2 linked regions of the Schizosaccharomyces pombe genome follow. The gene in region 1 interacts genetically with each later gene. Each region holds a gene or a part of one and is shown on either strand. Other genes may lie near its edges.

Region 1 (8,265 bases):
TTCAAACTATACTTCTATTTGTTATTGAAATCATCTCTTTTATATTGCTAGCAGTGTTTCGGCCTTTTGTTGGTTTCAAAAATTCCTTTTGCGTCTTTTTGGTTGCTCTCACCCGAGTGGTTTCCTTTGCTCTTCTCATACCGATAGCATTTGATTTAGCAATCATTCCGAAAGTGATCATTGCAATCATTCTTATCATTATACAAGGGCTGGTATTTTCATTTATGGCCCTGTGGAGCCTTTGGAACTTCATTACTATGCTAGGTACAGCATGGCCAGCCATTAGCTACACAGTCCCTTGGCTTAGAAGATTAATAGATGAATATCAAAGACAACTTCATATTGACTTTGAGAATCCTGCGGTTTCTGCAAGTGAAAAGCTATCCACCGAAGAGATTATCCCACAAGAATCAAATTTTGAAGAGCCCTCTACCACAAAGAAAGAAGGAAACGTAGACACAAAGGAAGATGGAAATGACGATGTCTTCAGCCTTGTTAACGCTTCTCCTATGCGACCAGCATCTACAATACCTTCACATTCATGTGACAACGGGATTAATGAAATGCAGCGTACTGTTTAAAGATTTTATCGTGGATGTTTCCAACTCAAACTATTGCATTAGAATGCCTTAAAGACTGAAAGTTGACAACACCAAGTACATATAGAAAAAGATATTTGCATTTGCATAAAAAAGATGATTGAACTTGATGCGATTAACCCTAATAATCTGAAAATCCTTGAAGTTATTAACGAAAAGTGTTTTGATCCTGAAATCATTATATTTCCAACCTCCTTTTACAAAGACACAATCTCAGTCGGGCCTTTAGCACAATATGCGTACTTTAACCAGGTCTGCGTAGGAGCTGTTAGATGCAAAAAAGAAACACATAATAAATCGCACAAAATCCAAATTTTATCTTTGGCAGTTTTGCCAGCCTATCGAAACCGTTCTATTGGTACCAAGCTGTTGGAATATGCTTGCGAGACTGCAGCTGAGGGAAAAGCCAAAGAAATTTACATTAAATTAAGCCCTAAACTCGATGTATCCGAATGGTTTATTCATCGGGGATTCATTATTGATGAGAGCTCCAAAACAGAAGATAGCGTCCTTCTTTCGAAAAAGCTATAGATTGCACACACATTTATTAATCTAAGTGAAATGCAATTATTAAATTGACTTGAAAATCTAACATGGATCCTTGGATAGATTTTAAAAGAATAAAATAGATTTAATTTTGAAATTTTTAAAGAACAGATTTTGTTAGCACCTTCAATAGGTACAAAATGTGATATCATTTGAAACAGCCGAACCTTGCCTAAGTAAAATTAAAAGACTTGAAAATGACTAAGATAATTGTAGGATTCTTATATCCTATCAATAATAAGAATATGAATCCATTCAATTAAACAAGAGTAAAGTACATACGAACTGTAGTGAAACATTACCACATGCGGCAAGACAACTTAGGAATTGAAAAACAAATGTTTATTTAAACAGCGAGCATTATTTTTTAAATGCATTAACCCGCAGTTATCCGCCAGCTTGTAATTCATCTGATTCCGTATCACTATCATATCCCTCCACCAAACTTCGTTTAGTATTTATAACATTTTCAAACTGTTTACACAAAAACATTTCATCTTCCGTAATTGCAAAGGTGCTAAACCATGTCTTATCGGATAATAATTCATTAGCTGAAGCAACAAATGCAGCTTTAATCATACTAATTTGAAATGATTGCTTTCCAATGTCGTTATTTCTGTCAATTGGATCTTCAATAGATAGCAAATTTGGTTGCACTTCGTTTAACCAGCCCTTTTGTAGCTTAGGAACTATTTGACCGGTTAAAGGTCTCAATACAAAAAGTTCGTATGTCCATTCGACTCCCCAAAAATAGAAGAATTTCTGTAGTAAAGCTCGAATTGGTTGCACTTCCGAATCAATTCCCTTTTTGTGAAATCGCATTTCAAGCCAACCAATTAGCATATAAGAGAGCGCGCAACTTGCAATCCCGCCATGATGAACGTTTTCCAAATCTCTTTCAAACAACCAGTGCTTCAATAGCATCAGCAATCTACCAAAAATTGGGTGTTCTTCGTTATAAGCTTTTTGCAATTCAGCAGTTCTGCAAGCTTTGTCATTTCCAAACGTCAAATCCACCCCAATTCCACTAACATCTACTAAATTGATGCGAGGGACTCTGGCACTAGAATGGAAATCAGCATCAGCATCCAAGTACTTTCTTAAAACCATGGTGACGCGTCGTTTCTCCAATTCTCCAACTCGAGGTGACTTCAAAGATACGTCTACATCACTTATAGATAATGTTGTTCCAATATACATGCTACCGTATACTTGAAGTTCAGCATCCAAAACGACCTCCCTAATGTGAGTCTGTAGTTTCTCTAACAAAAGCTTTCTGTACTTCAATTCCTCGATTTTCGGGCTTACGAACTCCAAAAATGAATAAAGTCGAGCATTATCACTCAAACCTTCTTCATTCCATGGTACTGAATGCAGCTCTAACAGGACTTTACCCATTCTTAAGAAATGGCATTTTGGCTAATTTTAATATCAATGGATTCAATTTCATGGCTCCTCGCACATAACGAGGTCGTGCGAGTGCCTTGTAATTATATGTAAATAAATCATTTTATAGCAAAAAAAAGTATCACGAGTTTTTAATCAATAAATAACTTATTTGTTTTTATAAATAATAGAATGATTGACTGCAAAAGCTTCCTAGTCTCATACAGCATTTATAGCGAAAACCAAAGATTATGAACCCAAGAAAAGCAAGCAAAAGATAGATAAGTACTCCCTCATCTCTCATTGTGCAAATTTTAACTTAAGCATGTGTATTTCGATTTTTAAAGGTTTCCTTTATGATATTTTTATTTGATAAACGAATTCGTTGGTTTACGCATGTAAATACTGTCATGGCGTCTAAATACATATGAAAATAAAATAAAATTAATCCAAGTAATTAGTCATGTACTTCTTTCTTTTTGGTAATCTGATTCGTAATGAACAGTGTAGGACTAAGTGTAACAATCATAATTTAGCAAAAGACAAATTCACAAAAAACAGTCAACTTGAAATAATCACGGAAAGATGAATATAAGGTGTTTTTTTGAAATCCCCTTTCGCTCAAGCAGTGTAAAAGTGACTATAATAAGGAATTATTGAACCAAGAAAACATTAATAAATATCATGCAATAACACAGAAACAAAATCTCCTTTGTTTTTTTTGGACATCAAAAATTTGAAATTATTGACCGCATCATAATAATAAGCCTTTGAATTAACTTATGAAAGCTCACTCATAATTGAATAAAACAAAAAAACAAGTACAGAGATGCAATCAAGCTCCTTTAAAATTGAACCTAGTAAACAGATATTATATATAAATTAATATGCATGTTTATTAACTAAAAATTCCGTCTACACCCATTTGGTAATCCTTACTTCCAATCTCCATAATTTTAACGACTTTTTTATAGATATCCGCCAATTTCTTTGTAGAAATTATCTATTTCTTCATCCTTGTCTTCCTGAACTTGGCTCGATACATCCCTGTCTGGCTGTCCAATTTTCTGCCCCTTGGCTAGTTTTTGTCGTTGAAACGCAGCAGGTAAAAATTGAGCAGCTTCTTGTCGTAAATCTCTGACTACCGGCTGAGCTGAGTACTCAATCATAGTTTCCTCTTCAATGTCCTTCGTATTTGCAGCAGCTTCTGTCGTAGTAGTGGATTTTGGTTGTGCTGAACTTGCATTTATGTCTTGCTTTTTGTGGTGCTTTGGCTTAAAGCTCTTATTTTTCTTTTCCCTTGGCTTTGGATCCTCAAAAGGATATTCTTCAGAAGGTAAAGGTATATCAATAACGGATTCATCTGTTTCTGAACTTAGTTCTTCCTTCTCACGATAAGGCATTCCTGGCGGCGGAACTCCGTAAGGATTAAATATTGGATCATAATATATACTTCGTTTTGGGTTTTTAGGGATAAAAGGCTTTCTAGGTTTATGTTGACGTTCTGCCTCCTTAGTCTTGTCTGACTCAACACGCCCAACTCTATGTCCATGAATGTTTTTCTTCTTCATAATTGCCATATCTCTTTGCAAATTTTGTAATAATTGCTTGTCATGTGCATTTAAAGCTTGCGAAGATTCTAATTGTGTCAGCTCTGATAATTGGCGTTCCATTTGGCTCATATTCCTATGCGACAGTCGTTCTTCATGGCGTTTTGCTCTTTCTTCTCGCACTTTAATTTGTTCTCTTTTTTTCTTCTTTCTGCTCTCCGCTTGAACGGGATTTAATCCCCGTTTTGACAGCATTCTGTAGAGTCAAGTATAGTATGGGTTTAGAATGGTGGTGATCAAAAACGTGACATGTATAAAATATTTAGGCAAATAGACAAAGAATAGTATTAAATTGGTTTGAGTAATCGACCGTTTACATTAAATTTAAATAAAGAATAATTAGTAATGTTGAAGTTGATGAGCTAAAAACTAAAGTTAATAGGCTGGTAATTAATTGTGTATATAGAGTATGAGTCAATGATGGAATTTCAGAATCTTTTCGTTTAAGTATATTCTACTGTATTAGCAATCATTTAGTAGAATTGGGCTTTAAAACGTAATTATTTTTCTGGCCTTGCATTTCAAGGCTTCCATTTTTGACATGTAAGAGTTGGCTATTTAAGAAAAAGTACTTACTCATTGAACTTGGCAATTGTCAAATATTTGAAATATGCATACTCCTTATTTTAGTGATATTTTTCAGCTTGACTTCCCGTTTAAAAAATGAATTACTGCTTAGTAGAGGGAACATTTATGATGGAAGGTGATTTATAGTCGTGGATTCAACAAACAGTAGCAAAGTTCGTTGAAAATAATTAAATTCTTCTATGTCACTTATTAGTAGACCCAAAATCAACAGTTTACGTTACAACAATTGATAGGTTTTACGCTAATCAAAAACATATTGACAACCATCTACATTACAAACGCGTTTATGAACCAATCACATATAGTTTTATTTTCTTGTAAACATGAAAGCATTTTATTAACCATTAAATCTTGATCGATAAGAGAACAAACAATTTTGCCATTTTTACGAACCAAGTTCCTCATCCGGAAATCCGTAAGCTTGGCAGATACAATGGCTGTTCCATCTTCACCGAATCCAATAACCGATAGTCATCGAACGGCCAGTAAGAGATTACCAGCACACGAACTATATCAATTTCAGAGGATGGTGTTAGTAGTAAGAAAAACAAGCCATCATTTGGGACTATAAACATCTAAAAAGCAGTCACTCAACTAACGAACTTTAAAGCATTTAAAGTTGAGTAAGCGAATCAAGGGCAACTATCGAACTTTGTCCGTATGGCAGAATTCTATATATTAAAAAAATGGAAATTTTTTGAACTAATGAGACCGAGAATTAGCCGCTGCAACTTGCATAGCATGGACAAAAAACCCTTGTGAGCCATGATTTTTTTCTACGATGTCGTACAAAGCATCGGTGCTTAAACTGGAGTGCAGCAGATCATTCGATAGTAATTTTCTACCTATAAGAGCGTAATTTCTGGTGCTAGGAATGCGTAGTGGTTCAACCTCGATATTCCAACCTACCTCCTCTGACAGCTGCATGAGCCATTCAATGTACATGGCGTATCTTCCTCCATGTTTGGGATTTCGAGGTTTCGGTAATGCCCAGGAAATTTTAGCACCTGTCAGATCATGAACGCAACAAGGAATCGACATGAAATAGCATTTCTGATTTAATCTTGCTAAAATGGGAAGATAAGGAGTCAATTCATCCGCATGGTTTCCGATAAGGAATGAGTTTTCAGAAAATCGACCGTCATGAATGTTTGCAGCGGACATAGTGAAACCGGCAGGCAGCTGAGGAAATGGAATCTTTGTTTCAAAATCATGCAGAAAATAGGGTACAAGAACTTTTTCGTATAACTTTACTTGAACCCAAAGGGGATATGTCTCCCATGATTTTCTTTTTCTAGCGTCGAAGCCATATCCATTATAGCCCTCCATTAACAACAGATAAACAAGTAAACCATTTCCGCAACCAACATCAACAAAACTAAATTCTTTGTTTGATGAATAAGTTTGTTTCCACAATTCTATAAGAAATGCTGCAATAGCCAAATCTTCGAAAACGTGTTTACCAGGATCCGTTTTTTCTACCCAATTGTCAACAAGTTGCTTGGCGTATTTATCTTTCAGAATAACATAGGTATCTTGAAACTTGTTTCTTTCCACAACAGTGTCGTGAAGCATGCGTTTTTGGTACCCTTCCACTGCCCCCTTGCAATGCTTGTGTAAAACAAGTAAAAGCATATGAGCTGTTCGCAATAAACGGGAAGACAATTCCCTTTGAAAATCCTTTTCTACTAAATATAAAACCTCAACACTTGATCCTTTGTAATGAAAAGCAATTCCAGCTACTGCGGGATGATAGTATGGAAGATGATTATAGGGCTGTTCCAAACTTTTGTCCAGGTGAGGTAAGTACATTAATATACGATCATTTTCAAGCTTCTCATGTAGCACAACAACCGTTTGGTCCATTGTCGCATCCAAATTAGTATTACGAGGAATAATTCGACGATCGATCCACCTTGAAATTTGGTACCTTTCGTCAAGATTTTCGAAAACTGATTTCTGCTTGTTTAGAATTGAATCATCCTCTTGAGAATCAAGAATTATGTCTGTTCGCATGATAACACTGCTTGTCCGCTCTGGATGATAGACTAATTCTATCATCATTTTGTCAAATACCTCAGCTGCATAGCAGGTATCGTGCTCCAAAATGGATTGCCATTGGTAAGATGACTGCAAGTCATAAGGAACAGGTGGATCACATGTCAAAGCATTTTTTGGTTCTCGCGGCTTCCAATACGCAGGAACCTTCATAAATGCAATGCGCAAAAACCTTTCAATTGAACAAGTACGAAAGTACTGTTAGCAGAAAAAAAAATGTCGGAAACTCTAGCGCTTAATTTTAAGCATGTTTAAGGAACGCTTAATATACGTTAAATAAAATACGGATGCGTTGGAGATTTCAAAAACATTTGAATCTGTGTCTTTTCCTGTAGTAAAAAGGGAGAAAGGATTGAATAAATGGTTTGCTCAAAGTTTAACTAGCATTTCCATGAGTTCAGGAATTGCTAAAGGGGAACTTAAGGGTCTAAGCTCCTTTCAAATGAGTAAACAGGTAAATATTAATTCCATAAGGTAAACTTTGCGAATTTTTTTATTCGCAAATTTCCATCCATTTTGTATTGGTCATATAGTCGTAAAGAAGCCTAATCTTGAGATGCTGTAAAACTTCATGTCATATAATCTTACTAAGACACTCTATATACGATTCTCTCTTTCTCCTCAACAAAAATATTATCTTACAGAGGGTTTAAATTGGTAGAGCAAATTGACCTAAGAGGTGAACCAGTAACCTGAGAAAAAATTGCAGCTTCGATGTATGTATGAGATAGATTCTGTAGTTGTTTTATTATAATCTGACAAGTTCTTTCTACCGGAAGATTTCAAAAACGAGGAAAAGTAGTTCTTAAAATTTTTTCATCCTTTACTACGCTCTACAATCAAAATTTTCGATTTCATTAATTAACACGGCTTCTACTTTTTTTATTTTATGCAAGTCCCATATAAAAAGACTGTTAATATCAAGCAGCAAATACCGATAGAATTTTGTAGAATGAAATTTGACGCTTTTGGTTGAGAAAATCAAACGTGTGCAAAATGTCACAGCTCTTCACACGTAAACGAAATAGCGAACAAACACTCCTTATCAATAAAAGTACAGCAAAACACCAAGGAAGTGTCAGTTACTATTAACCAAAAACTAATTGAGAAACGACTTTGAGATTGTACTATAAAGATGGCTACTACCAACAAAGTTTACTTTATTGCAGGAGGAAATCGTGGTATTGGACTCTCTCTTGTCAAAGAGTTAAGCAGTAGAGAAGGAACGACTGTGTTTGCGAGTGCTCGCAAACCCGAAGCTGCTACTGAATTACAAGAATGGAGCAAATCTCATCCTAATGTTAAAACTGTTGAATTAGATGTCACATCTCAGCAGAGTGCCAATGAAGCTGCTCAAAGCGTTGCGAAGGCGGTCGATGGAATTGATGTTCTTTGGTTGAACTCTGGTATTTGTCAATCTTACTATACAGTTATGGAAGCACCTGAAGAAGTTTGGAATGCTCATTATCAAACCAATG
Region 2 (8,139 bases), on another chromosome or scaffold:
AAATATTAAGTCAAAGAGGTCATACGCATAGTTTGAAAAGGCTTGTCCTAGTGCTATAGAAAGTAGGCTAATGCATTGAAAAATTGCAGCATCCGAAGCACTTTTATTACGGATATGGATTTTTAGACTTTCCTTGATTGAATCGCATATGGGGTCAAGATATGGGATTATGCTATTAGTAATAGCCACGGCAACTTTTCCAATAGTGGCAAACGCCAACATCTTAACATTTTCTTTTTTTAATAGATTAAGTAGATGGAGCATACAAACGTGTAAATAATTGGAAACAAATTCATCTGGATTATAAGCTGCGAGTGTAGCAATCAATTCTGTAACGGTTTTGCGAATAAGCAAATCTTTGTGATCTCTGAATTGCAATATAATGTCCGATACTTCTCGATACCTCTCATGCATAAACATTCCAGCTTTTAAAAATAATTGGCGATATACTAGTAAACTACCATGAATGTAATCAGAAGAACCCTGTGCAACACCACGTTGAGCTTCATTGAGAATACTTGTATACCATTGGAGACGGATGGATGAATCCCTTTGCCTAACGATTTTCAAGAACTCACTCAACGCATCAGCCGAAGCTATTCGAATAGTAACTTTTGGATCCCGAAGTCCATGCCATAAAAGCTCAAAAATTGAATCGATATGAGCATAGATTAATGTAGACGTATTTTTGGCAAGCTCCTTAAGTATAAGCACTGCTGCATATCTACGATTTTCATTACGTTCTCCTTGAAGCCATTCCAAAGCGCGTTTAACTTCGAAGTTCACAAATTCAGAAGTTAGAGCACCTCCAGGAACTGCAAGTCTCCCTAAAGCTTTTGCAGCAAGAACGGTGGCTTTTTGGTCAGTTCCTGGAAGAATAATACGCAAATAATTTGCAAATCTAGTAATCCTTGTAGTATCTTCTCCTTCATAATCAATTAGACGATTTATGGCAGTTACGCCTGCCAGACGATCGAGTGGATCGGTACTGTGAATTAAAGTATAAACGTACTTGTTAACATCATTGTTAAACTGAACTAAAGCTTCGCCCGATAATTCTCGAGAATAAGCTATAACATATTCATAAAGATCATTTGCCGCTTTATTGCGAATTTCTTCATTCCTGCTTTTCAACCCAGGAAATTCTTTCATTATATACAGCTTAAATTAGCATCATTCTCTCAATTAAACAAAATTATTAAATGTGGTTGGTGGTGACCAAACAAGCACCTGCTGTACTTTTGCACCTAATTCTTAGTATACGCAGAGAGGAGATCAATAGAAACACGATTGAAAAAGTAATATTTTTATGACGATTAATTATTTGTAATAGATATACAAGTTAATATTTAGTGTTCTCAAAAAATCCAAGTTTTATTAAAAAAAGTCTAAACTTAGGAACTTTGGTAAAATACCAAAAACGAGTGTTGATTATCTAAATTTTATTTTCGAAGTATTACTTTAAGTTTTTTACTTTACATTTTTCTCAAAGCTCATAGAGGAGAACAAATAAGAATCGCTGTTAAAGATTCTGACGCTAACCACCAAGTTCACAACACTTGTGATATTGCTAATATCCCTTTCTCTATTAAATGGTTCTGTATAAAAACAAAAAAAAACAAATCATTAATTATGCAAATTCGAATTGGGGTCAAAATGAAGGTGTAGAATTTCAAGAAACTATGCTACAATGCATCCTCGAAGCTGTCATTGTAAGTAAAGATGCTAAGCAAGTACTTAGTCTGTTACATGAGTTAAAGCTTTTTGAGAATTTCCTTTGGCAGAGGGTTAATACTGAGATGTCATTGAACCATATAAACTTAACTTGTATGCTTCTATTATACAAATCCAAATATGAATATATTACATGGGACCTCATTGATGAAAATCGGTTTCAATTATTTTTTGAAAAAGTAATTGAAGTCTCTTTATCCTTAAATTTATCAGAAGTGGTTTACATGATTCAATTCATTACTCTCTGTTTTCAGTTTTCGAATATAGAGAAATTAAGGAAACTTGTTTACCAGTTAACGAACATTTCTATTTTAAATTCGCTTGATAATCTTGATAAAGTAAAATATTTACTACATGACTCAAGCTCTCTGACGAAAGCCTTTGATTCTTATAAGGAAAAACGACCGTCTATCGTTGAAAAGTTCCCTTTACATAATTTACTTTCCCGCTGGATTCATTCTCTGCTTATTAAATCGATTAGCTACGCTCAAACTGAAAAACAAGAAGCGAAAGTAACCCCCCTTTTAGCAATTATCAATATGTCTTTGGTTTTACTATCCGCATTTCCCACACGTCGCTTTGCTCATCCCGTAATAGAAGACAGTTGTTTTTATACCGCATTAAGAATGTCTTTGTATTACGACAGTAATGAGCTTTTTAAAAAAATGACAGACGACTTAAACTATGTTTTGAAATTCCCTTTTGATAATACCAGAGGTAACGAATATGAGAAAGAACAAAAAATCAGAAATGATGAGCTTGTGTACTACCACTTACAGTTAACTTTATTTTCGGATTTTCAGAAGGAATTAGGGGATCTGGTATTTTGCACACAAACCTCTTTACAACAGCGACAAAAATTGGAGGAAATTACGTCTTTTCTTTCCTTCAATTCACTTAAGTCCTTGTGTAGTAAATGTTATTTGAGGACTTCATTTCCCGAAAAATATGCTATAAAAGTGGATTTCGAATTTTTAAAAAATGTTTTTATTAACACGTATGATAGGACTAGATTGGTAAATGATTATGATGAAATCATAAATTTTACTTTGAAAGATGTACTTGGTGAGCGATCCGTGATGGACCAAGAAAACTCTTTGACCAATTACTTCCTACTACAAAACACTGCTATACAATATCTTTCTATATCTTTTTTTATGAGACAACAGAGTAAAGCTTACAAAAAGTTATTGTTAAGGTCACTATATGCTGAACTTTTAAATTTCAGTGAACAATACAGGAGACTATCAATTAAAAATGCGACCAAGAATTTGACCAAAGATAATTTTTTCTCTTTAAATAACTTTAAAGTTACCTCCGTTGCTCCACCTCAAATCGGTCAAGTTTTACCTCAATTTGTAAAGTGTCAAATGGGTTTAAGTCGACCTGGACCTTTTCATTCAGCGTTACGTGATTTAAAGAATTCCATCAAGAGCCCTTTTCTTTGCTTAATATACATTTCTAAAGATATGGAGTACAAGTTATTACATGGTAATGCGCTTGACCCCTTAGAAGGGGTGACTGATTTTACAATCGCGACGATATGCAATGATGATGTTGGAATGTTTCAAAGCGATATGCAGTCAGATTCTGACAACAAGTCCATCAATGTATACCTAAGCCCATTTTATTATCATTCCCTTGCGGGGTTGGGGGAATATCGCCCTAAGCAATTGAAGTTCAACTTTGCTTTGGTACTGTCTCCTGAGGCAAATAAGTATTGGTTGGACTTAAATATTCTTGTATCTTTACTTAATCGCGCTAAAGAATTTCCTAAATGGTTCGAAGATTTATTTTTGGGTTTTGGAACGCCTGATATATGTGCTTTTCCTAATGCTGGGCTTAATTCTATTTATGCTAGAAACTTGTTCAATACAGTCGAACAGTTGCAATCAGTACTTCCTAATTGTCATGTACCTTCTAATTTATCAACTGAATCTTTACTAATCAAATTTTATACTAATCAGAACAAAATATCAGCTGATGTTACCGCATCTGATAGGCATTTTTTACTACCATCAAATCGATTATATACTTACAATGACAAACAGCTAGAATCGATTTTACGTGGATCTCAACCAGGATTAACTATGGTTAATGGTCCAACTCGTTGTGGAAAACATGTTTTGGTATGCAAACTTCTAGAGGTTTTACAAGACACATCTCCCAATGATAGAACCGTTGTACTTTCTGACTCCAATTTCTCTATGAATACTTTGTTTACCTTACTGGAAAAAGCTAGATGTTTTCACCAAGGGCACCTATTATATCTATCTGATGAAGGAAAAGACGAAACGTTGGAACGTTATGGTACTTTATCGTCTTGGATATCTAAGCTTCCTGGTCTTCTACGAGAAATCGGTCGCCTAGCTGCTTCAATCCAGGCTCCAGGTTCTCATGACGCCAGCCCAGATACGGCTTTGTATTTTAGGGATGCTTATATTAAGCGACTTTGGGAAAAGTACTTGAACACGGTAGATGATAAGGATTCTGTGGATGCCTATAACAGGTTCCCTTTCCATTCGTATTTCGGTGACAAATCTAAGCGTCCGATAGAAACGTATAATAAAGATAATTTTTTCGATTATGCGACAAAGTTATACGGGGAGTTAGAATATATGTTCCAACAGCTGGAAGAGATCCGGCCTTTTGGATTACTGAGATATTATGAAGATCAAGAATTGTATGCATTATGCCAACAATCTAGGATTATCGGATGCACTTGGACGAGCTTAAGTACACGCTTAGGGACTTTGAAAGAAAAGGGATTTTGCTTTAACAATTTAATTGTTATGAACTCACAAAATATAAGTGAAAGCTCTATCACTAGCATACTACTTTCAAACTGTGAACCAACTGGTTTTGATCGCCTTGTTCTTCTGGGTAATCAATATCTTACCTCTGGGAATCAGGATATAAATAATACGTCAAATGGTTCACTTTTCAAACGTTTGCGGTATTTGAAATCCAGAATTATTGACCTTAATACGCAATACAATGTTAGAGAATCTATCAGTTCTCTATGTTCATCAATTTATCCTTTGGACATCAAAACTGTGGATTCTAGTCCCAATAAAAGACTTGATTATGGTAATTCGGGGTTTGCACATGAGGTCCAATTTATTAATGTGGGAGCTTTTAAAGGTTCTCAAGAAACAGAACCCGTTAGCGGTTATAAGCAAAATCTTGGAGAAGCCGAGTACGCAGTTGCCTTATTCCAGTACATGCGAATGTTAGGTTATCCCACCAACGAAATTGTAATCTGTACGCTTTATGAGAGTCAAGTCAGCCTTTTAAATGAAATTATATCGGTACGCTGTTCTCATAACTCGTTTTTTGGTCAGCCTGCTTTTGTAGGTACCGTGGAAAAATTACCAAGCGATAAACGGGTAAACTTTGTTATATTTACGACAGTTGAATCTAAAGAGGCCTCTGATCATTGGAATCCAAAAACATTTTATAAAGCCTTTTCAGCATGCTCATATGGTCTGTACGTATTGTGCAACCGTGACCTTTTTCGCTCTACACGTGGTCTTGAAAAACTGTGGAATGAAATTGAAAAGACTCCTGACAAGCTGCTTTTAACCACGGGAGAAATATATCCAAGTTCTCACAAAATCGGATCTTCCGTTGAAACATTTGAAATTGAAAATTTACTTCATCTCTCAAACTATGTTGTTGAAATGACTAAAAAAAGGTTAAATACGAATTAAAATAAAAACCTACTTCATATAGACTATTTGCTTGTTGTATTGAATTAATGATTATTTGTAAGATTAAAGTCATTTTATTTCATTGCTTTTTTGCATAATTAACTTATTTAAAAAACTAAATAGTGAGCTTTACAAACAATAAAAAGTTGATCCCCTCAGAAAAAGTCTTAGGTGTCATACCGATAATAGCTCACTACTTTATTCAACTATACAACAAGTTGGGTAATACATTATTTGCACGAAGTTAACGTCCAATGATTGATTGGTCGAATGAGTAATAAATATAACAATTTATTAAAAGAAGTTGCAGCTAAATATGCTAGTATCATTCTAAATGATGCGAAAATTAAGTCTTTAACTTCAATAAATAGTGCCGAATATCTATATGATTCATTTGTTGAAATTAGTAAATTACCACTGGAAAAGAAGCTTCCGTTAAAATGGAAACTGATTACAGTAAAGGAAAATATTTGCACGAAGACAAATTTAACCACGGCAGCCTCTAATATGTTGAAGGGTAGACAATAAGAATATATTTCAGTTACTAATTGCGGTTTAACTAGACTACAATTCTCCGTTTGATGCGTCAATTGTCGAAAGCTTGAAGAAAGCCGGCGGTATTATTCTTGGTAAAACAAATATGGATGAGTTTGCAATGGGAGTCAAGAGCGAAAACAATCTTTTTGGTCGCACTGTTAATCCTGTTGTTAAGGATAGTAATTACGATGTTGGGGGCAGCTCGGGAGGAGCTGCTGCTGCAATCGCGGCGGATATATGTTATGCATCAGTTGGTTCAGACACAGGAGGATCAATCCGTCTACCTGCTGCTTACGTAGGTTGTGTAGGTTTTAAACCATCTTTCGGCAGGATTTCGAGATATGGAATGCTTGCCTTTGCCAATAGTTTTGACACAGTGGGTATCGCTGCAAATAATGTTAAGGGCGTTACCAAAGTATTTAATGTTTTAGACCATCCCGACATAAATGACTCAACCTGTTTAACTAAAGAAGCTCGTTATTTTGTTAAAGAGCAGCACAAAAAATTATCGCGGAAGCCAATTAAAATAGGAATTCCAATTGACTGGAATGTTTCTGAGACTCATCCAAACGTTTTAGATAAGTGGAATGAATTCATATCTCTTCTGAAATCAAATGGTTATCTTGTCCAAGAAATACAGCTTCCAATTTCATTATACGCTAACAGTGTATATTCCACAATGGCTTATGCAGAAGCGACTTCAAATTTGGCTAAATATAATACTATCGCATTTGGCAATTGTTTAGATGAAAAGTTCGAAGAGGAAATAATTTCATCTACTGCACGCTCTTTTTTTTTAGGAGACGAAGTGAAAAAGAGGCTACTGCTAGGCGCTTATTCACTAGCAAGAATGTATGATATAACTGATTTACTAAGTAGTTACTAATATTTACAAATAGGAATTCCTCTGATTTGTTTTCTAAGGCTCGATACGTTCGCCGAGCCATACAGCTGGAATTCAACAAAAACTTTTTTCTACCTTCCTTTTCTGTCGATGATCCCAGGGGTGACATCGATTTCATAGTTACCCCTTCTTTTTTTAATTCCAGTCAACCCATTGAAACCCCGTCCTCTTATAGTCATCTTTCAGATACTATGTTAGTTCCAGCGAATATGGCTGGAATACCATCCGTTAGCATACCTTTCGGTACTTTGAACAATGGGCTTCCAATGGGAATTCAAATTATGGCCCAATATCTTAATGACGAAGATTTGTTGTCTTTTGCAGGCCAGTTTGCATAGATTTCGGCTGCTTATCTAAACTCTCGAAACATGGCTATGATAATCTTTATGAGCATAATAATTCTTTACTGTTTGGAATCAATTTCATACATTGAAACTTGTTTGCAAAGAGTTTTGGAGAACTTGTCATCAATAATTCGACAGTTTCCCTACAACTGCGGTAAATCCAATAAATAGATGTGGATTCTGAATCATTTACACTTCTCAGCAACATAAATTATTTTTACATTTCAAGTCGCTAGTTTATTCAACCAAAAAAAATGCATATCTGAAGGATGGAATTTAACGGGTAAGCTTTTAAATACAAAACCAGGAGCAATCGGTTTGTCAGATAATGAACATAGTGCACTGTCAAGATATATATGATAAACAGCAACAATTGTATAATTTACCAGATAAATTAAATTTGATTTAATCGAAATAAATGTCTCAGTGCAACTGTAAATGAATTTTTTGACATTATAATAAGATAACGCACTTTGTGAAATTGCGTATTTATGCCTTAAATCCTAAACGAATGCTAACCAGATCTACACATTTAGCATTAGTACGCTTTAAACCAGTTGTTTTTAAAGGTTAGGATAATTTAAAACAGCTACCTTTCAAGACTCCAATTTTTGTTTTCAAAGCATGACTACCAAGCAATGGGGTATTACACCGCCAATTAGTACTGCACCTGCTACTGAACAGGAAAATGCTTTGAATACGGCTTTAATTAATGAGTTGAAGAACCAAAACTTGTTTGAATCTCCTGCCGAATCTGAAAAAAGAGTAAAGGTTCTTGATGAGTTGCAACAAATAACGACAGAATTTGTAAAGAAAGTATCACTTGCCAAACATATGAACGAAAAGATGGCTAATGAGGCAGGGGGGAAAATTTTTACGTACGGAAGTTATAGACTGGGCGTTTATG

Evidence for each region. A genetic interaction does not mean that the proteins touch.
Region 2: mutations in saf1 (region 1) and cwf11 impair growth when combined (synthetic growth defect), as found in Schizosaccharomyces pombe (2 studies listed by BioGRID).

What each region holds. Positions count from the first base shown.
Region 1 is NC_003421.2:1,649,947-1,658,211, reverse strand, and holds saf1 (splicing-associated factor Saf1), read right to left. Parts: upstream 4,365-8,265; 5' UTR 4,337-4,364; coding exon 3,500-4,336; 3' UTR 2,630-3,499; downstream 1-2,629. Other genes in the region: trp663 (TRP-like ion channel protein), read left to right, coding at 1-581; NatA N-acetyltransferase subunit Naa50, read left to right, coding at 696-1,130; poly(A) polymerase Cid12, read right to left, coding at 1,533-2,543; trm44 (tRNA (uracil-O(2)-)-methyltransferase), read right to left, coding at 5,432-6,940; SPOM_SPCC663.09C (dehydrogenase), read left to right, coding at 7,923-8,265.
Region 2 is NC_003423.3:921,133-929,271, forward strand, and holds cwf11 (protein Cwf11), read left to right. Parts: upstream 1-1,539; 5' UTR 1,540-1,592; coding exon 1,593-5,447; 3' UTR 5,448-5,509; downstream 5,510-8,139. Other genes in the region: TORC1 serine/threonine protein kinase Tor2, read right to left, coding at 1-1,152; gta1 (glutamyl-tRNA amidotransferase alpha subunit), read left to right, coding at 5,718-5,964, 6,011-6,836, 6,884-7,226; mRNA cleavage and polyadenylation specificity factor poly(A) polymerase Pla1, read left to right, coding at 7,857-8,139. UniProt on the Schizosaccharomyces pombe protein: Involved in mRNA splicing where it associates with cdc5 and the other cwf proteins as part of the spliceosome.